Linked DNA regions of Rhinolophus ferrumequinum. The protein of the gene in region 3 binds, or shares a complex with, the protein of the main gene of each other region. Links are inferred from orthologs where the notes say so. Each region holds a gene or a part of one and is shown on either strand. Other genes may lie near its edges.

The links. Proteins that work in one complex are often made in the same cells at the same time.
Region 1: the proteins of NSMCE3 (region 3) and NSMCE1 are in contact, whole or in part, in a crystal structure (PDB 7DG2), measured with the Xenopus laevis proteins. The link is inferred for Rhinolophus ferrumequinum from reciprocal best matches to the Homo sapiens genes NSMCE3 and NSMCE1. Residues at the interface, in XP_018121157.1 of Xenopus laevis: Gly57, Glu58, Val60, Gln61, Tyr62, Leu64, Ile65, Lys66, Gln68, Lys69, Val82, Thr100, Gln102, Gln103, Val104, Phe105, Gly106, Phe107, Asn123, Leu125, Gln126, Arg127, Val128, Gly130, Asp131, Gly132, Met133, Arg134, Asp136, Glu137; in NP_001083134.1 of Xenopus laevis: Ile5, Glu7, Gln10, Arg11, Leu13, Gln14, Ala15, Met17, Ser18, His19, Leu30, His33, Leu37, His38, Leu54, His57, Leu58, Pro60, Leu61, Phe62, Met63, Val84, Asn86, Ile88, Thr89, Met91, Ala92, Ser93, Asp94, Gln149.
Region 2: NSMCE3 (region 3) and EID3 share a complex: the UniProt entries of both Homo sapiens proteins name them as parts of the SMC5-SMC6 complex. The link is inferred for Rhinolophus ferrumequinum from reciprocal best matches to the Homo sapiens genes NSMCE3 and EID3.

What each region holds. Positions count from the first base shown.
Region 1 is NW_022680357.1:19,109,135-19,116,454, reverse strand, and holds the start of NSMCE1 (non-structural maintenance of chromosomes element 1 homolog), read left to right. Parts: upstream 1-4,306; 5' UTR 4,307-4,419; intron 4,420-7,320. UniProt on the Homo sapiens protein: RING-type zinc finger-containing E3 ubiquitin ligase that assembles with melanoma antigen protein (MAGE) to catalyze the direct transfer of ubiquitin from E2 ubiquitin-conjugating enzyme to a specific substrate.
Region 2 is NC_046293.1:15,688,253-15,695,453, reverse strand, and holds EID3 (EP300-interacting inhibitor of differentiation 3), read left to right. Parts: upstream 1-4,638; 5' UTR 4,639-4,728; coding exon 4,729-5,856; 3' UTR 5,857-6,687; downstream 6,688-7,201. UniProt on the Homo sapiens protein: Tissue-specific component of the SMC5-SMC6 complex, a complex involved in repair of DNA double-strand breaks by homologous recombination.
Region 3 is NC_046311.1:13,570,792-13,577,634, forward strand, and holds NSMCE3 (non-structural maintenance of chromosomes element 3 homolog), read left to right. Parts: upstream 1-4,800; 5' UTR 4,801-4,880; coding exon 4,881-5,783; 3' UTR 5,784-6,335; downstream 6,336-6,843. UniProt on the Homo sapiens protein: Component of the SMC5-SMC6 complex, a complex involved in repair of DNA double-strand breaks by homologous recombination. The complex may promote sister chromatid homologous recombination by recruiting the SMC1-SMC3 cohesin complex to double-strand breaks.

The DNA of each region.
Region 1 (7,320 bases), on a different chromosome or scaffold from region 3:
GTCGAATCTTATTTCAGGACCCAGTGATGTAGATACACTCCCAAATTTCACCTTTTATTAAATATCTGATTACTTGCTTATGTGGGGAAGACTTTCCTCTACCCCCAGGCTTCTGACTGCTGTAATAATCAAATAAACATGAAACAGATTATCAAGAGGAAACGAGCAGATTTAATACATACATATGGGAACCCTGCACACAGGAGAGTCAGGGACCCCACATGTAGGAGACGTAGGGAGATAGAAAAGGAACAGGGGTAGGTAAGACATCCCGAGCTAGGGATGAAGTGAGGTCTCTTGGGGGCTCGAAAGGGTCTCTGCAGGGTGACGACAAGAGCATGAGGATGGAAAAGGGGCCACAGGTGAAACCTGACAAGCTCAGGAGACTGAAAATAACCACGTATAGGACGGCGTGAACATACAAATTCCTAACTCAGGTGGGCCATGGCGGGAAGTCACATCCTTGGCCTGCAGCTTCCTAGACAAAGGTCAGTCTTTACCTTAAGTGAGCCTGTCAACTGTCTTTTTGCATCAAAAATAACACACCCTTTGGAATGTCAGTAATGCCTCCCTCCCCCCACCACCAGAGCAGGAAGCTGTAGAACCCCTCATTATTATTCTTCTCTGGATTCCCATCTCTATGTGCTGTGAAAAGTGCTATTAACTATCCTGTACCCACCTATGTGAAAGAAGTACCTGTCTCTCCAATTTACTTTAATCACAGAGATTTCCCTGCTTTGCTTTCTCCCACCCCATTAATCTACCACCAATGGATTTCATGTAACCCTCCTCCTTTGATTCTGTGTATAAAATAACTGCAAACCACCATTTTGTGAAGCATTTTCTCAGTCCGTTGAGATTTTGCTTCCCAGCAATTGGCATCGGTTTGGCACAGATAGACTCTTTATAGGCTTTCTCTTAGGCTGAATGTTTTTCCATGGACAAGCATGTTTCATGAATATCTTGAACCTAGTCAGACAAAGACAGATGTTCAGAGACTGAAGGAGAAGGTCAGACAGGGACAGAAATAGACAAACAATGTGGGGTGTGGGGTGCTGAGCTGCTACCAGCCCACGGTCGCTGACTGTGTGTGGGGGCTATGTGTTTGGAATCTCTCGAGGTGTCCTTGGCTGACTCGGCACTGTTTTCCCAGGTCTTCCATATATGCCTTCCATATATGCGCCCCTCCCCCCAAGACTGAAGTTCCCACACCAGGCCATCACTCTGGACCTGAGAGTGGTCCCAGCATTGGACAAGACCCCTTATGCCAGTAAAAAACTGAGGGACTGTACCCCAACCTACCGGACAGGTACAGCTACCACAGCTGTGCAGGGGGAAGCCTGTTCCAGCAAAGCTGCGCCAGGAGCCAGGTGTTCAGCTCCCCCTGCAAATGCTGTCCCCTGTCACACAGCACGTAGGCCCAGGCTCTGGAAAAGCACAGCCACACTGCCTGTTAGGAAGACTGAGCAGTGGACCCTGCTGCCAGCACTGTGTATCCTTCTCATGCCAGTGCCTGACTCTGCCCGCACTATACACAGGAATGGCTTTTATCTTGGCCTTTGGGGCCTGTCAGCATCCCTCTAGGCTGAGGGCGGAGTGGAAGGGTCACTTCCCCTCTCTGCTCCACCAATCCACACCCATTGCCACCACTGGATCAAGCTTAAAACGCAGTAAATCCAAAATTTATGTGAGTATGTGGTTTCCATAATCAACTTGATTTTCTCTTGTTTCTCATTTGTTACTCATTTCTGCTTTTGCTTTATTATTATTTCTTTCCCTCCATTTTCTTTGGGTTTATTTATTTTTCTACCTCTTAAATGGAACACAAATTTTGTTTTCTTGTTTTGTAATAAGTACACCAGAGGCTATAATCCCCCTTCTAATTACTGTTTTAGTTAGAGCACACAGAATTTATTATGTAAGGCTCTTATTGTCATTCATTTCTAAATATTTTGTGATTTCCATATACATTTTTTAAATCCACATGTATTTTTCAGTTTACAAATGCACGTTTTTTTCTTTTAAAAATGTGTCATAAAAGCTATCTACATACAAAAAGTATAAAAATATAATGAACTTCCAACCGAAGACATGAAATTCAAATGTATGCTTATAATTTTTAATTTTATTTTTCATAAGTCATAGATATACATGATAAAAAGACAAACTAGCCTGTCTTCTTGGCCCCTCCTACTGTTACTAATTTAAGGTATACTCTATTGAATTGTATGGGTTTCTTTTTGGCTCTCTTTTTGTTATTGATTTTTAATTTTCCTTTATTGTGGGTTGTGAATGTGACCTATTGAATCTGGATTTCAATGAGGCTTCCTTTGTGGTAGTCAATTTCTGTAAATGTTCCAAGTATGTTTGAAAAGAACAGATATGCAAATATTTTTTTTTGTAATGCAAACTTGGTCTCCTCAATTCCTCTCTGAGCTTCTGTGGTTCTCAGGTAAAAGACAGCCCCTTAGCCTGTGATTTGGCCCCACACTTTCTCTCTAGCCAAGGCCTAGGCAACCTCCATATGTACAACAAATTTATGTCCGTGTAGCTCTTGTATCTTTTAGGGCCAACTTTCAGAAGGACATTTGAAGTGTTACAGTCTTGTAGCAAACAGTCCAATTCGTGGCACATCCAAGTTTCCTAATAGAATCTCACAGAACCACCTGGAGAGTGGGCAGTCTTCTGAGGGTGGTCATGCTGAGGTTGGACAGTCGCCCTGTGATGGGTCACTCCCTCATTGCCAATTCCAGTCCTTACCCACTACTTGCTCCTGTCCAACACTACCACTTCACCGAGATCTCAGGCTGCTGCGCCCCTCCAGGCTGACTTCCCAGCACTTACTTACTGCCCATGAAATTCTTCATCAGTGGCATATCTTTCTTGACCTCTCCAGAGCACTGGCAAACCTGACCACACCCTGTTTCTCAAAACTCTCTACCTGTTTGCCTCTGACACCACAGTCTTGAATCCTGTCTTCTCTTTCTACCTCCTCCTTGGCCCTTTCATCCTGAAATGCCAGTGTTCCCAGCATTTTGTGTTCATGGTCCTCGGGGTTTTTTTTCCCCCTCTATACTCCAGGAAAACACGGTGCATTACAAAGGGACAGTTTCTACCAAGCTCTGAACAAGTGTGGCCTGTTGTCCCATTGCCCAATTTTACAAGAGCGGACAGACACCCCAGGGTTTTCTGTGAAATCCCTCAACTTTAAATGTTGATAATGAATTGAAAAGTGTACACAACTGTGCAGGGCAAACAAAACATGGCAGCCCAGTCCTTCTTAGGGCTGTTCTTCTCTTATTCGACTGACCCTAAGGCAATTTGTAAAGTACTTTGTTCATACTGGAAGCTCACACTTACTGAGGGCTTACTATGTGCCAGACACTCTTCTAAGTGTTTGCATGTATTAATGTATTTAATCTTCATAACAAGCCCATCAAAACAATGGTATTATTATCCCTGCTTTACAGAAGAACGAACTGTGAGGGACTACTTTGTCCTGGGTCTCAAAGATTCTGAGTGTAAGAACCTGGATTCAAATCCAGCTTGGGCTCTGGAGCCCAAGCTTTCCCTGCTCAGCCGATGATCAAACTGAGGTCCAGGGCGGTTGAATTGTCCGAGGTCACAACAGAGTTAACTGGCCTGCGGGTGGGGTGGAGGTGGGTTGAGGCTGTGGTCACAGAGATACTTGCACTCCCCGCTGTTCTGTAATTAGCCACCCCTATTCCCTGCTGCACTGGGTCCTGGTTGGCAGACCAGGGACTGGAATACAAACGATGGTAACGTGCCCATCCACTTCCACCGATAACTTCATTTACTCCTCACAACACTCCCAGAGCAGGACAGTCGCTAACATTCAATATCAGCCCTTCATGCGTGTTGTCCTGTAAACCTCACAAGCACGCTGCTGCTACGTGGGGACTATTATCCCCGTTTGACAGGAGCAACTGAGGCTCAGCGCCTCTCTGTGATTTGTCCAAGATGAGGCATCTGGTAAGTTGCAGGGCCAGGATTCTGGTCAGGATATATGACAACAGAGCCCCCCATCCTTGACCACGAGGCCACACTGCCAGTTCTACAGGTGGGGAAATCGCGGCCATGAGGGTGGCGCACGCTGCACTCCTCCTCCTCCTTTTCCATAAAGTCCCCAGAGAGGCCAGGGAAGCGCCTAAAACTGGACTTGACAGATCGATCCTGCGGCACCACGGCAACGGCGCGGGAGGGGTAACGGGAAGTGCGTCATCGAGCGGGCGGGACGAACCTGCACGACCACCAATGGGAGCGTCGCGTGCTCCGCCCTGAGGGAGGAGCCGAGTCCGCTTTTTGCCAACGGCGCGGGCCCTGTGAGCAGCTCCTGGGCGCCTCCGAGGGTAACGGCGACTCGAGAACGCCGTCCGGAGCGGCGAGGGAGGCCGGAAGGTGGGGCTGAGGTCCGGGGCGGCCTGCGCATTGCGCCCAGTGCGGCGCTGAGGGCCCGGGGCCCCGGGGCTTCTCGTTTCCGGCTGGAGAAACTGAGGCCCAGAGGGGGCCGCGAGGGCCAATAGACCGGAAACGCGTCCCTCTCACAGGGACACTTTTAAACCGTGATATTAGATGAGAAGATAGTTCTTAGCATGATGTTAGGTGAAGAAAAGTACGAAATGTGTCTGAACTGAGTGCGTGCAGCCGGCCCGCGCCGACTGCTCGTCAGCCACTGGCGCCGCGCCCCGCGCCCGCGTTCTGTGCGCCGAGCGTCTCGCTGTGTCCGAGTCCACAGCCCCGACGTTAAAGCCCCGCGGCTGTCAGCGTTCAGAACCCCGCGTTTCGGGGTTTCCGGAGGAGGGTGGGGAGCCTGCGTTCTCCACAGGTTAGGCCCCACCGTCAGCGGCGTCTGGGGCAGCGTCTTGTAGTCAGTCACAACCGTAGTACCGCCGCTGAAGACACGCGGGTTTACACTAAAAGGGATAAAGAACGACCATAGATAGCCCCACCTTAGATCTGATCCAGTTTTCAAACTTAAAAGATTTGATGTTCAGACCTTTTTAGATTTGACAATTGCAGACTAGGAGCCGGGATCCTCATGTTATTATTTACTCCTATTTCTCGCTGGCGGGGGTGCCACACATCCTGAACTGCGCTTTTGTGTCGTCACCCTCTGTCTCCATCACTGTGTGTGTCCCCTTGTGCCCTCAGCCGGCTTCCTCGTGTGTAAAATGGAGTAAGGAATGGCTTTCTCATAAGGTTCTGGTGACGAGTAAAGGAGACTGTGCTGTAGCACATGGCACACGTGGATGGTTATGACTGACATCTGCTTATTCCACAAGCATTTCTGTTTGAAGGCCATTGGGAGGGCAGTGCGTGTCCGTGGTCAGCCTCCCCACTCAGTCCCTCTTCCGGGAGAACACTGAATCCTAGGACAGAACAAGCCTGTCTTTCACCCCCATTGCCCTCCCCTTTCCCCAAAGTACAGCATTGTATACCGTTCTTTACTTAGTTCTTCTTTAGTAACATTTTGGCTTAACATATTTACATAATTTTCTTCCCTTTTTAAGATATGTGACATATCTATAACAATGTAAGTTTGAAGAATGAAGATAAAACAAACATCCACCCACCATGTTAGAACATTTTCATGTCCTCACAGCCCCCGTTGAATCCTTTCTTCCCTCACCAAAGAGAACCACTGCGCTGAGTATTGTGTTCTTCGTTCTGTTGTTTTCTTTGTTGTTTTTACTGTTGATGTATCTCTGATGAATGCAGTGCATGGTTTGCTAGGTTTTGAGTTTTATATAAATGGGATCCTAACATATTTTGTGTGACTCGATTTTTGCATTTAACACCATGTATACATTAGATGCATCTGTGTCGCTGTGAGTAGCTCTACTTCATCTTCAGTGCTTTGAATTCCAAGGTCAGATTATACACACTTTATGGAGGCCGTTCAGTTGGTCTTCACTTATACTTTTTGCCAGTTTTTTTGCTCCCACATGGTGCTTTTATAAGCATATTTCCTGGGGCCAATGTGGGAAAGTTTCTGTAAGGTATGTACCTGATAGTGGATTTCGGAGGATATACAGATGAGCAGGTAAAATCAACTTGTCTGAAGTGCTTATAAGGGTTTACACTCTATGGGCAGTGGGTGAGTCTCAGCCTCGGCCATTTTAAGGATTTTGGCCTCTCTGGTGGTAGTGGAGACATTAGTCGGTGGTTTTAATACTCATTTGCCTGTTGACAGGTAGTTTGAGCATCTTTTCACATCTTTATTAGTTGTGCATTTTCTTTGTCAAATTTCTGTTGCTCATTTCTCTCACAGTTGTCTTCCCTTTGCTTTTTGTAGGAGCTCTTTATATATGTTCTGAATGTGAGTCTTTTGTGGCTTAAATGTGTTTCAGATACCTTCCAGTTTGTAGCGTGTCTTCTCTTTCTATTTTCCACTGTCTGGTGTTTTGGTGAACTCCGGTCTTTAATTTTAACAAGGTTGAAGATATCAGTATATTCCTTTATGGTTTGTACTTTTCTTATTTTTTTTTAAGAAACTCTTCCCTGTCTTTGAGTCATACAGTTATTATCATACGTTGTTGTCCAAAAGTTTCATAGCCTTTCCTTTCTTATGACCTTACTCCTTAAGAATAGAATTTCATGAGGTAAGGGTCTATTTTTTTTATTTTTCTCCCACATATGGATAATCAGTTGTTCTGCCAAGTTTTTTGAAAAGTCTGCTTTCGTTAGGAGTTCTATCTCTTCAACACGTCAAGTATCCATACATGTATGTGTTTCTGTTTCAGAGTTCTGTATTCTGTCCCATTGGTCTTATTTGTCCATTTCTATGCCATTATCACATTTTACTCATTACTCTATCTTTAAAATAAGTTGTGGTTCCTGGAAAAACAATTTCTCCTGCCTTTGTCTTCTCCAAGAAATGTCTTTGCCATTTTGCCTTTACATTTTCCATGTAAAATTTAGACTCATCTTGTCAGCTCACACACATACACATGAAGCCTGTTGGGAATTTGACTGGAATTGCATTGATTTGGTTGTATTGGATTAATTTGGATTTTAAAGTGATTGCTTTCAACATTTCATCCTTAAATATTACGTTTGCTGTAGGTTTTTGTAGATGCCATTTAGTAGATAAAGGAAGTAAGTTTCTAGTTCAAGAGTTTTTACTGTTAATAAATGTTGAATTTTATCAACTGTGAGATGATCATATTCCTTTTTTTCTTTATTCTGCTAATGTGGTGACTCACATTGATTGCTATAAGCTGCTTGTAATATCTTTCTGTAAATGTTAGTGTATGCAATTAGTTTCCCATTTGCATTCCCAAGTATTGTTTAGTTGTA
Region 2 (7,201 bases), on a different chromosome or scaffold from region 3:
TCTATGCAGATGTGTCCAGATCAGGTGAGAAGTCACATTATGTCTATTTAGCTACTATTTATTCAGCACCTGTGTTCTTGAAATGGCGCTAGGTCCTCACTTTGTTACCTCTAACACAAGTCTAGGGCGATGTATATGCTTTAGAATACATTTGTCAACGAATGTTTGTATATGATTTTTCTACAAAGGGGCACGACCACTCTATATGGCAGAGAAGATATACAATAGCCGCCTTTTACAAATGAGGAAAATAAGTGGAAACTAATAAAGCCCTGCTTTTGATTGGGGAATCCAGGCCTCCAGAGCTGAGTTCCTTCCCAGCTGCCCCTTTAAAACCACATCCCAGTGCTTTCCGACCCCTGGTCTGTCAAAATGATGCTCTTGGTCATTGCTGATTTCTGAGGTGTCCCAAGAGAGTTGATAATTGCTCTTATAACCTGAAGCGTTCTGTTCTCATCTCACACCCTTGTTTACAATAGTTCTTGAGGCTTGGCAAGTCCTCATCACTGGGTTTTCTGAAGTGACAGTTAAGTCTATGACTTGACCACGGGCAAGGGTGGAGGTTTTATATACTCTGAAATATTTCAGTGACTGGCTCCAAATTGTTTTGTGGGACTTGATTGCCATTTTATCTTTTATTTCACTAACAATAAAGCAATCTTATTTGAATAGAATAGTTATTCAGAGCCTCTTTTGGACACTGGGTTTTTAAAGAATCTGCTGAACTCCAAGGACCCATTCCTGAGAAAAATGTGCACATGTAGTTTTGCATATAGTCGCAGATTTTTTGGTGGGCTTGCTTCAGAATATCTAGTTGAGAGTTTTATTCTTCAAAGTAACTATACACACTTTCATTAGTTGAAGCTTTAGGTTTTAAAATTTTCTTACACGGCAAATTTCTTTTCACTGTGATTTGTTAAGTGAGATACATTCTTGTATTACTCCTTATGGATTTAACCTTTAAAATATTTTTCTGTTCCTGAAACATCCAAGAGTGAAGCTACTGGTTTGTACATAGGTGTTTCTGTTTGGTGTCTAATGTTTATGAACCATTTGCTATCTTTGGGATAATTTAAGATTTATTAAGTACCTACTCAACAGCTGAAAATATTGTCAAATCTATCACATAATTCTCATTCAATATTTACAGTAACTTTATGATATAAGTAGTAGTATTCCCATCTTACAAAGGAAGAAGCTGGAGGCTAAGAGGTTAAGCAACTTGCCTAAGATAACTCTAATAGCTAGCAAGTCAAGATTGGAACCAGGTTTGCCTCCATTGGCCATGGTCTTTTCAGACACTCATTTGAAAAACACAGATACCTGCCTTAATCACAGCAAAGTTTACCTTTAATACTAAAAAACCAAAACCAAACAAAGCAAAAATGTACACGCACAAATATAACGTTAAAGGAAATTAAGATGAAAAAGAAAATATACCTAACGTCCTGCTACTTTGATAAATCAAACTAGGACTTTTACAACATCTCTTCACGACTAAATATTAAATAGATACCTTGGAAGGATGAGGAGAGAAAAACTGATATGAAAGAAGGCATAAAGAAGTTGAGGAGGTAGCTTAACAGCAATAAGTCTGTTAGAGTGTGGGGATCCTACCTGACTTGTTCCTGGTTTGGCTCAGAAGTCTTTTAAGAGATTAAACATCTTCTTGTTGTAGATTAATCCTGCAATAAAAATCCCACTAGAAAAGATAGTGGACTCTATGTGAGTCCTTTTTTTATTTGGCTTAAGAGAGAGACCTGTGATCTGTGACATCCATCCCATCACATTTGGCTTGAGCACTGGGAGTTGTGGGAAAGAGCTTAAGAATGCTTGGAATGAATGAATCTGAACTCCTGGCAAAGGACTGATAAATAATACTGGAAGAAAAACTGAGGAAAGGAAGAACGGAAATGGAGAGCCTTATTTAGCCTTTGGCAACATCCCCTGAAAGAGAACAAAGTAGTGGAGAGGAGCTAAATTATGTTGGAGGCCAAGCTGTGTGCCATTGGTTGTCTGAAGTCGTCTTACTGCATGAAGAAGGTAGATGTTAGTGATTTCTTTGAAGTAGTAGTGCACTTTTGCTTTCTGTTAAAAGTCATAGAGCAGTTTACCAGTATAACTGAAATTGTGTGTTGTAGTTCCTTTTTTAAGCTGCATTTATATAATTATTACTAGTAATTTGACCGTAGGTTAGAAAGCCACTGTTTAGTGATTTAAAGATGCACAAGTGTAGAAATCCCATTCTTTAAATGATGAAGGAAAATCATTAGACTTGAGATTTTATTTTGAGATGACATATGAACCTTATGCTCTAAAGGCAGATTTAAGAATGTGGGATATGCAAGTCTGGTTTCTGAGGATGACAGAAGTTACATGTTACGAAGATTCTTAAGAACAGGGATCTAGTATAGAGTGAACTCAGCACAGAAACGACAACTTAATAATATGCTTGTCTTGATATGTTCTGTTGCTTCAAGCAAGTTGTGTGGGCTGTTATCTCCTGAGAAATCCCTATAAATAGTATTAGTAATACTTTATAAGTAGGTGAGGAGAATTATTTTTCTGAAGCGTTTCGAAATTCTTAGATGAAAGGCTCTGTATGGAGCAAATTGGTATCAGCCTGTTCTCCCTCTTCTGATGCAGGAGAAAATAGGCACCTTAGGGTGGGAAGGTTGGCTTATCTTTTGGAGTTCTTTTATAAATTGCTTTTGTTGAATTTGAAGTGGATATCAGAAGCTCCTAAGGATACAGTTAACTATAAAAGCAAACTCTTTGGGATTTGGGATTAGGGATTAACTCTCTTCCTCTTAGATTTAAAACAGGTTTAAATATTAGTTTGTAATTGGGCAGACTTAGGGGGAAAATGTGGTCCTTTGATGATCCTGGATCCCAACTTTGTTTTTTTCTTACTTTTTCTGTATTTCAGAGAAGGGATAAGGTTGACTTTCTGAAAAGGAGTCAACTTTTATTTTCATTTTGAGAATCTCTTAAACTAACCTGAAATTTTTTGCTGCCAAATAACTTGTAGGAGGTGTTGGGACAAAGTTTAAAAAAAAAAACTACATTCATTTACAACGTATGCATTTAAATGTGCATAGTCAAATGCATCCATGTGAAAACAGCTTTGCTTAGAAGATTTAAACCAAGTTTTTGCTTTAGAGAAGCTAACAGTCTAATGGCAGGATAATAGGTATATATGCACAAGTAACCATAGCGCATGGTGTTTTTGAAAAATGCATGTTTCTTCCTGAATTACCCCTACTTAAAGAAATAATGGTGCACAATAGTAATGTAAATATTTTGGAATAACTTAATAACAGGTTTTGCTGTTTATGCATTTGCAAGAAACTTTCTATTAATGTCAAAGAAAAATGAACCAGTCTAGATGCATAGGAAGGAAGGTAGGGCTAATTTACTTCCGTGTGCCTTGAAACCAGAGCTGACAGGTCAAGTGTGGTGTGTTCTCTCTCCCTCTCTCTCTCCCTCTCTCTCTCTTCCCCTCCCCCTCTGCCCCTCGCCCCCTCTCCCATCCCCCCTCCCCTCTCCCCCTTTCCCACTTTCCCTCTCTCGGACTCTCCTTTAAAAGGAACACCTGTTGCAGTGGTTAAAAACTGGTCTTGCGGGTTGAGAATGCATATTCTCTTTAAAAATGAAATATATTCTGTTCCAGTGTTACCTGTACTTTGCTGCCTGTGTGACTGCTAAGCTAAGCTCTCTCTCTCCAACTGTACAAGAATTCCCAGTCAACTAGTAGGTGAAGTTTCCAGTATAGATTAGTCACCTGATTTACAGCATTTGCTTTCATAGCTTTATCACAGATTGTGTTTAAAATCTTCATTGCTTTGCTTACCTTTTAGGGTTCAGATTTACTATCCATTCAGTCTGTGGTCTTTAGCCTTTGGCAAGCTTCCAAATAAACAGCTCTTTTGTAGAGATTGTACCTGTTTTATTTGTTCACCCTTGGGTGGTGAACCAAAGATCGCTTGAGTAATACGTTCCTTCCCCACCTTCAAGCTTGCTCTAGCAGTGACACACACGAGTGATGCCCTCCACTCCATGGGGTAGGTTGGAGGGGATTGGGCTTTTGAGGGCCCGGGAAGGTAATTGACGCAATTTACATTTGTATAATGAAGAATTGAGTTCCAAACAACCATCTACTAGTAAATGAACTCTTAGAGTTGGTGGCCTATTTGTAATGGGAGTTCTGCATGTCACGATCCTTGGTCCTACTGGTAGTTTATAATCTAGCCAGATTTAGTTCTCAAAAATAAAAGACCCCACTTCTTAATCACTAAGAATAAAAAACGAAGGTCGACTTAACTGCAGTATGTGACAGCAAGTTTTAAAGCACAGGACCTTTAGTTTCCTCACAATTTTGTCATAGATTGCCCAAGTGTTTCTTCGAAAGCTAGATGATACTGTCAGTTAACGCTAAAACAATTAGCTATCGCTTAAACGGGTGTATGAGTGTGGGCTTCGGACCGATTATTGCGTGCGTCCTGTGCGCCACGGGCTTGTTTGCGAACGTGTTGCACAAGACCTGGGCTCCGCAAGGTGGGGCTGTCAGGAGGCGGGGCGAGCTGGGGGCGGGGCCTCCCGGCGGTGTCACCAGTGCGCATGGGCGAACAGGTTCCTCCGCTCTGACTGACCCCTTCAATTTCCGCCGCTGTCCGAAACCGTTGCGAAGGCCGTTAGCTGAGCGCTCCCGGAGCTTACTGACTGACAATGTCTGACGAAAAAGATTCCCTGCGGGGAGGCATAGAGGAGGGAGAGGAGCGGGTGGTGAACATCACCAGTAGTGCGTACTCCGTGAAGCAGGCGGAGGAGGAGGCAGATCCCATGAAGGTGGAAGTGGCGGTGGGGGCTGATGGCTGCTCTGAAGGCTGTTCTGACGACCTCAGCTGTGGAGAGGCCGACATAGATCCAAATCTCCTGGGGCTTGAGGCTGACGAGGAGAAGTGCCGGAGTATCCGCAAGCAGTACCGGCAGCTCATCTACAACGTCCAACAGAACCGTGAAGACATAGTGAACACAGCGAGCGACTCGTTGAGCGAGGCTCTTGAAGAAGCCAATGTCCTGTTTGATGAAGTGAGCCGAACAAGAGAAGCGGCTCTCGATGCCCAGTTTCTTGTTCTGGCTTCTGATTTGGGTAAAGAAAAAGCCAAGCAGCTGAACTGTGATATGCGCTTTTTTAATCAAGTAGCATTTTGTGACTTTCTCTGTATATTTGTGGGACTAAACTTGATGGAAGATAATGGACGTAATGCGTTGAGTGGTTGTGATGATAATATAGCTCTTTCCTTCTGGGAGACAATACAGAAGGAAGCAACATCCTGGATATTGCAAGCTGGAACATTCCACTTTATTTTTGGTTCATTCAAATCAGAGTCTTCTGCCCGAAAGCCCCGACGTGAGCACCAGAAAAAAACTCACAGAATGGAAGATAATAGGGATATGCCTGTAAAACTGAGGAAGTTGGACTTGAGTAATAATCAAGAAGCGACAGAAAAAGAAGTAGAAAGAATCCTGGGATTGTTGCAAACGTACTTTCGAAAGTATCCTGATACTCCTGTGTCCTATTTTGAGTTTGTGATTGATCCAAATTCTTTTTCTCGTACCGTGGAGAATATATTTTATGTTTCTTTCATTATAAGGGATGGTTTCGCAAGAATAAGGCTTGACCAAGACAGGCTGCCAATATTAGAGCCAATTAATATTAACCAAGTGAGTGAGGGAAATGATCCCAGTTCCTATGGCAGGAAACAAGGGGTTATATCTTTGAGTTTACAGGACTGGAGAAATATTGTGGCGACTTTTGAAATTTCAGAGGCTATGATCACAAATTCATACTAAATATTTTTGTTCCTAGTATAGGATGCATTTTGTGGCTTTTCTAAAAGTGTGTCAAAATGCAGAGTTAAATCCAAACAAAAGCACATATTGTTACCTCTTGTAAAGTGAAAAAGTATTTTCAAGAACATCAAATTGTTTACTGTGCAGTGTGATTTTCTTGGTAGTTTATAAGATAGTCAAGACCTTCTGTTATTAAAAAAAATTTACTGGCATGTTCATGGGAAAATTTTTTGAATGTCCTTTGAGACTATTAATAAAAATCATTTCTGAATTTCGTAAGTTAAAAGGTATTTGATAATTTGCAAAAAAAAAAAAATTTAGTTATGATGCCCTGTGATACTGTGTTCCTCTGTTACAGGGAACCAAGGGAGTCCCATATGGGGCTCCTAACCAGGTTGGGGAAAGAGTGGGTGAAAAAAATGGTAAAAAACATCCATAGGGCAGTGAATATGCAACATTAATACTATAAAAAAAAAATTAAGATGCCTTGCTTCATTGCAGAGAGGGCTCAGGTCAATGAGTGGGTATCCATATTCTAAAAAATTTCTCCTGTGATTAAACTCAACAAAAGTCGAGTTATCTCTACTCTAGTAGACAAAGCATCAACTAAGTGCTGAAAAGTCATTAGGAACTGGTCAAATACAGGAATGGTATTCTAGGCAGGGGATATGGAGGCCAAATATATGGGATTGTGAGAAATTATGGCACCAGAGAACCATAAAAGGTTTTGAAAACTATTCCATTTGAATGTTAAGCGGGGCAAAAATTGAATTACTTTGTCTGTCATTCTCCTCAGAGATAGAAGATATTTTTGTCAGATTACTTCAAACACAAAAATCGTTTAACAACCAGTTATAGTCTTGATATACTTGGTTAATTTCTTTTCTGGCCCCTACTTTCCCTTTGTAACTTCTGCTAGTACACAGAGTGTCCTTCAGAATCAGTGATGTTTTATTATGTAACAGCCTTGAATATTTGTTTCCAGTTCAATTTGGCATTTCTTAATAAGGCTTTAAATGCCTGGAAACTGTCCCTGATTAAACTGAAATACAGGATTAACTTATCCCAAAGTTCTTTACTTCGGATAAAACCATAAATGCTTTTTTTTATTACTTGCAATTGTTTTAAAAATACATATTATAGACTTATTTGGTGGTTATTGCCAAAAATTGGGTCTTTAAGGAAACAGTTTTTGAAGGTGCAGTGAGTATGCCTATAAGCTTCTTTTCTTGATCTCTATAGGAATTTAATCTTCGGTGGTAGTGGATTTTGCCATTAAACATTATTTGGCAAGTGGATAAGTATTTTGCATAGTAGTAATGATAAACTTTCCAACTAAGCCTAG
Region 3 (6,843 bases):
GCAACCATCATCTTCACCTAATTTTATGACATGTTCAGTCACCCCAAGAGTAGTGATTCCCCCATTCCCCGCCTCCCCCAGTTCTAGGCAACCATTAATCAATCTACTTTTCGCCTCTGTGGATTTGCCTATTCTAGACATTTCGTGGAAGTTGCATTATACAATATACGCTGTTTGGTGAGTGGCTGTATTCATTTAGCATGTTTTTGAAGTGCATCCACATGATGGCCTGTGTTTGTCCTTCATTCTTTTTTAAAGCTGAAAAATACTCTGTGGTATTGGCATACATTTTCTCCATTCATCAGTAAGCAGACATTGGGGTCATTTCTACCTTTTCGCTACTGTGAACAGTTCTATCTGCCTAGTCCCTCGCAGGGTTAAATTAGCCCCGTCCATTCTCCTTTTCGGTGCGCTTGCCCTGTGGTTATCTATACCTCTGCTCAGGGCCAAAGTGGAGTCCAGGAGGAAAGAATGAGGTGTCTGTCATCGTGCATGGTGTGGCCACTGGAGAAATGCTTTGGGTTAAGCATGGAGAAAAGAGCTACTCTGGCATAGCAGGTGCTTCAGCGTGTGTTCTACGTTCTCTGAAACGCCTTTCTACATGGTAAATCACCAGGTTAGCTCATGTGTACATTCTATAAGGAGAAACAATCTTTCATGGTTTCTTACTTGCACTTATTGCTGGCAACTAAAATCATAAGCATGTTCCCCAACCACAGAACACTGCCAAGAACCCTAACTAAACTGTCAAATTTTATTCAGATCACCTCTCATTACATTCAGATATCTTTGCAGGTAATATTAACCGTGTCTATTGCCGTGACTTTGAAACAAACTCTTGTTCCTTAGTACCCTCTTTTCCTCTGTGTAATGGGTTTGGATGCCACTTAGCCAGAATTGGTTCAGTTTCAAGTGAGGGGAACCAACTTGAAGCAGATAAAGCAAAAGCAGATTTTACTTACTCCAGTAATTAGTCATCCCAGGAGTTCAGCCTTGCACTTGGGATCCAGGACTTCAGTTAGCACCATTCGGACTGTTTCTCCATCGCTTAGATCTCCTTTGAGTTGCCTTCACCATGTTGCAGATTATTCCCAAGCAAGGCAGAGATAGCTAGGCTTACATCCCCCTTCAGCTTGTTAGCTCAGAGAGAGCTCATATGAACCCCTAAAAGGAGTCTGACTGGACTCCCAATCCAGTCACTGTGGCCCGCCTGAATCACATGCACCCAGAAAATGAAGGCAGAGCTTTTTCCAGGGTCTCCTAGAAATGGGAAGAAGCAATTACCAAAGGGTAAAGATGCAGAACAGGGGCAAAAACAGCCAACGAAAAGAAATTATTGGCCACTATTGAGACCTCATGTGTTTGTAATTTTATAACTTAATAGACCTTCATGATTTTCGTAAGTAAAAGGCCGTGGGTCATCGGAAGATTTATATTTCTTGAAAAGAGAGTTGCTGCATTGCTTTTCCTACTGTCTACCCGCCGAAATAGCCCCTACCCCCACCCAACCCCTTTGCTCACATGCTGCACACGGCCCCCCTTTTCTTCCACTAGAAGAGGCAGCAGAGCCACTCGCACATGCTGGCTGCCTACTTTGATCATTGCTTTTATTCCCCCAACGTCCTTACTTACTTTTTTGTACTAGGTCACTGCCAGGAAATGTAAAACCTTCCTCTGATTCTGCAAGAAATACCAAGGAACCAAGAGAATGCAGTAGATAATAAGGATGATTAGAGCTTCTTGGCAGGCATTTGCTACCAAGGAGACGAAATAAAGCCATTAATTAGTGACGTCTAAACAGCAGTTGGTAGTAGGCATTTCTTTTTTCAATGCAACTAAATCTTAGCTAGCTAATTTTTTGCCTCAAATAATTTTTGTTTTCTTTTGGGTCTAGTAATAAAAGTACTAAAGTCATTAACATAAAGTGTTTGAAAATGTTTTTCTTTTTTTAACCACTTGTCTTTAGTACTTCACTGGCTAAACAAAAAGTCACAAATGTCCCATGCAAATTACACTGAATTTACTGGAAATTTGAATGTGTAAAACTGTTATGGCCTGGTGTCCCTGAGATGTTAAAATTGATTGAAAGTATATTTTCACTGATCTCCCAAAGCAAGAAAATAAACATTGCATTTCATTTTTAAAAGAAAATACTTTTAATAGCACTGTGATATATTTTTTCAGACTTTCGTCTGATTTTCGTGCACACGTGGTTCGCTGCAGTAAACATCTTTCTTCACACAGCGTTATGTAGTCCTCAAATATTTTCCTTAATATAAACGCCCTGGAAAGAAGCAAATCATTATCAATCTTATTTTGTTGATTTGGAAACTGAAAGGAGTGTCAGTAGCTTTCCCAGGGTCATACAGGTATCTAACTTAGGGCAGGCCGACTCCCAGACTTTTTACTTTTTCAAGGACACCACATCATGTTCCCTTTGCATTGTGTGGTTAAGGGCAGTCTCTGGAGGCAGAACGCCTTAGTTCAGGTTCAAATCTAGCACTTTCTTGCTGTAGGACCTCAAAAGAGTTAATATTCTTCTCTGTGCTTCAGTTTCTTCATTTGTAAGAAGAAAAACATAATAAATGGGGCCTCATGGGGTTGTTGTGGGGATTAAATGAAGTACTAGGTGCAGATCACTTAGAATAGGGTCTGACCTACAGTTACCTTTGTAATAATCATCAGCTGCTGTTGTTTATATTTATTATTATTAGTGTTAGTGTTGTTATTGCCATCACCATGACAACAATTTTCCCTCAAACACTATGTCAATCTAAGGTGGAGTGGGGGTCTGGGCTCCTTCTCCATGCAGTATATAAGCTTCATTCTAATATTATCATGTGATATTTTCTCACTTGTATTCTTCTGGACACAGTGTAGAGAGGTGTTTTAAGACTTTAAACTGGTATCTTTTCTCACCCATTTTGAGTTTGACAATCTGCTATCTGACTAAAGATTCCACTGATGGACACAGCTGATTTTCACAGTCACTGGGGTAGCTTGACTAGCGGGGCTACTTGGTAATTTAAGTGAACACTTTTGCGAGAAAAAAAAAAAAAAAAAAAAACACTGAAAAACCAGCCCAGTTGTTGACGATGGCTTTCATCTTATTTTCCATTTCTCTGTTATCTCATGGTTGCTGATTTTTTACTCAGGGCACAATTGGAGGAACCTTTTGCAGAATTCTCCGCTGCAGTAGTTTTTCTTTGATCCTCAGTCCAAATTTTAATTTGCAAGAAAACTGAAGCAGATGGATTTTCTCATTGTAAAAAAAAAATGAATGCCTCGATGATATATTTGTTTTTCATAGTAGTCTTCTGTCATTAAGATTGATGCTTGAGAATATATTGTTAGATCCTGTATGGAACAGAAAGTTATTACTCATAGTTTACCAGATTTTAGCGAGCATACTTGCATCATAACATGGAATATCATTTTACATTTAGTGCAGCTCCAGTGTCATTATCAGATTGCATTTTCATATTGAATTACTAACAAAAATTTTATGCTAACACTTAATGAAATTTTTAATAAGATTGTGTTTTGATGCTATTATTCAAATAATGTGTTTTGAATTGCTTTCCTTTGAATATATTTGCATTAAAGAGAAACTCAATTTGATTTGGTTCTTTGAAGAGGTTACCCACTTTCTGGGTAGTTTAAAAAGACAGAGGGAAATTGTTAATTCTTTGCAAGTCAGTAAATAGAAAAGGAACACAATTACTACGATCTGTAGAAGTAATGGCAGCAGACACAGATAGTTTGAGTTAATGAAATGACTCATGTTGGCTATTATAGTTGCACAATTAAAAAAATATATATATACACAAAGCACACATCACAGATTATGAGGGATGATACCCCTGGGTTCTCTTCTCTTTCTCATCGAGCCCTAAGGCAGATATTTTAAGAATTGAGAAATTTAAGAGATTCACATTATTGCAATTCTTGATCAGTGATGCCCAAAATTAAATGGTAATCTCTTGAGAGAACACGTTTCTCTGTTTGTAGCATCCTTTTTTTCCATTTCTGCTAAAACTGTGGTTGTGAGCCCAAGGCAGTTCACGTGATCACGTGCGTTCCAGAAGATAAACTCATTTGACCAAGCAAAACCACTGTATGTGGTGGCTTGGTCATAGTTGTCTAGCTGATGGAGTATAATGCAAAAATATAAACACTGAAATCGTGAAAAGATGGGGGGAGTCCTGCTTGCGAGGCAAGCCTGCTTTACCAAACATTCGTTTTTAATAGACTCTCAGGGGCATTCGTGAAAGTAATGGTGGTAAATGGTGAGGAGGGTTTAAACTTGTGCGAGGGGAGTGGCGAAGGCAAAACAATCTAGGCGTCTTCTGGGTCTTTTCTTTTTACGTCCAGCTGTGTGTAAAAGGAAATGCTTTTTCTTCACTTGCACGCTCTTCGCTTTCTCTTCACCTTATGTTTCTCCCCCATTCCTTGACTTCGCTCCATCTAAAACTATTCCCGACTTGAAAACACTTCCCTGAGCCTGTGCGGGCGCGAACGTAGCCGCACTCCTCTTGAGGAGTCTGGGCTCCGGTTCCCTGTCTGCGCGGCTGGGAACGGACGACACTTTTAAGCACCGACTAATAAAAGCACTGCGGTGACCCCGCGGGGCTGCGCAGAAAGCCGCGGCGGCCAAGAGACTCCGCGCACGCAACACGTCGCCTCCGTGACGCGCCGCGCAGGCCCCGCCGACGCAGCGCGCAGTCTCGACGCGGCGCGCGCTCCCTCTGGCCCCGCCCCGGCGTGTCGCGCGCCCCTCCCCCCCATCCTCGCCGCGCGCCGCTTTCCCTCAGCTGCCGCTGCTGCCGGTTACCGCCCGCCGGAGTCCGCGCGGTCGCCCAGCCGTCACCGCCGGCGACATGTTGCAGAAGCCGAGACACCGGGGCCGCCTTGGCGGCCAGGCCGAGAGGGAGAAGGACTGGGGCCGCGGCGGAGACAGCCGGGCCGCGAGAGGCGGCGTCGCCGAGGAGGCCCCGAGCACCTCCCGCGGGGTGGGCAGCTCGCCTCAGCGCGCCCGCCGGGCCGAGGCGTCCCCGGCCGTGGGGCCCAGGTCCCAGAAGCAGCTGGAGCTGAAGGTGGCCGAGCTGGTGCAGTTCTTGCTGATCAAAGACCAGAAGAAGATCCCGATCAAGCGCAGCGACATGCTGAAGCACGTGATCGGCGACTACAGGGACATCTTCGCCGACCTCCTGAGGCTGGCCGCCGAGCGCCTGCAGTACGTGTTCGGGTACAAGCTGGTGGAGCTGGAGCCCAAGAGCAACAGCTACATTCTCATCAACAGCCTGGAGCCGGTGGAGGAGGACGCGGAGCTGAGGGGCGACCAGGGCACGCCCACCACCGGCCTCCTCATGATCGTCCTGGGGCTCATCTTCATGAAGGGCAACAGCATCAAGGAGACCGAGGTCTGGGACTTCCTGCGGCGCCTGGGGGTGTTCCCCACCAAGAAGCATTTAATCTTCGGGGACCCAAAGAAACTCATAACCGAAGACTTCGTGCGGCAGCGTTACCTGGAGTACCGGCGGATTCCCCACACGGATCCGGTCGACTACGAATTCCAGTGGGGCCCGCGCACCAACCTGGAAACCAGCAAGATGAAGGTCCTCAAGTTCGTGGCCAAAGTCCACAAGCAGGACCCCAAGGACTGGCCCGCGCAGTACTGTGAGGCTTTGGCGGAGGAGGAGGCCCGGGCCCGGCCTCAGACGGCGGGCCCAGCCCCGTCCCTCGAAACCGCGGCGGGGAGAAGGGTCAAAAGCACCGGTTGAAGAGGTGGGGGTGGCGGGAGCACTTTTCTGTGAGGCTTAAATGTGTGTAGCTGTAGGATGTGTTTGCAGAGTTGTGTTCTGTTAGTACTACAAGGTACGTGGTTCCAAAGTGTCGTTGACAAAACCATTCGGGAGAGGATTTATTTGGCGTGTTTTACTGTCTGTATATGTGGGTATAAAAATTTGGCTAGCTTTGTAAAACTAATGGGAAAACGTTTGTGCTGTGATCTGGAACAGAGATTGAAGGAAGAACACATCAGTAAATTGCTTTGGCGCCCAGAAAATAAAAAGGAAGTGGCTGTTAACCTGGCCTCTTAACTACCCCAGTTTGTAAGGAAAAAGAAAAGCCTTTGCAAATTAAAAATAAAAATGTGACTGCCTGTATCCCTTTTTGCCTTAACACAGCTATTTTATATTTATATATTTCCTACATATGTAAGCATTGTTCCAAGCAATGTAAATGTTTTTTACTTTCATAACTACCACTTAGGTCGGTTTGGTTTTCCTTGTTTTTGCTACTATAGTTATAATAAATACTATATCTTTGAAGCAGTTATGCATTGTGCATTTTTTAAATTGTGAATCATGAGAAATTAATTTCATGACTTAAAACCAGCATCTTAAAGGCAGTTTTTGCTACATGTTAAGTGTTTTGTAGAAGTTGCTTTACTTTTTATATGTGTTCCTGCAGATTGGATCATGATGTACAATATATTTCTTACTGTGGGTCACAAAAAAGTTGATGAAACCATTAGTGATTAACCAGCCTACTTGAGAATCAGACTACCTGGATTTAGTCCTGGCTGCACCTACCGTGTTTTGCCAAAAATAAGACCTCACGGGACAATCAGGTCTAATGCATCTTTTGGAGCAAAAATTAATATAAGACCCAGTATTATATAAGACCCTGTCTTGTATTATAGTAAAATAAGACCGGGTCTTATATTAATTTTTGCTCCTAAAGACACATTAGAGCTGATTGTCCCGCTAGGTCTTATTTCCTGGGAAACAAGGGTAACTAGCCATATAAATTTGGGCAGGTTACTTAACTTGCTTAGGG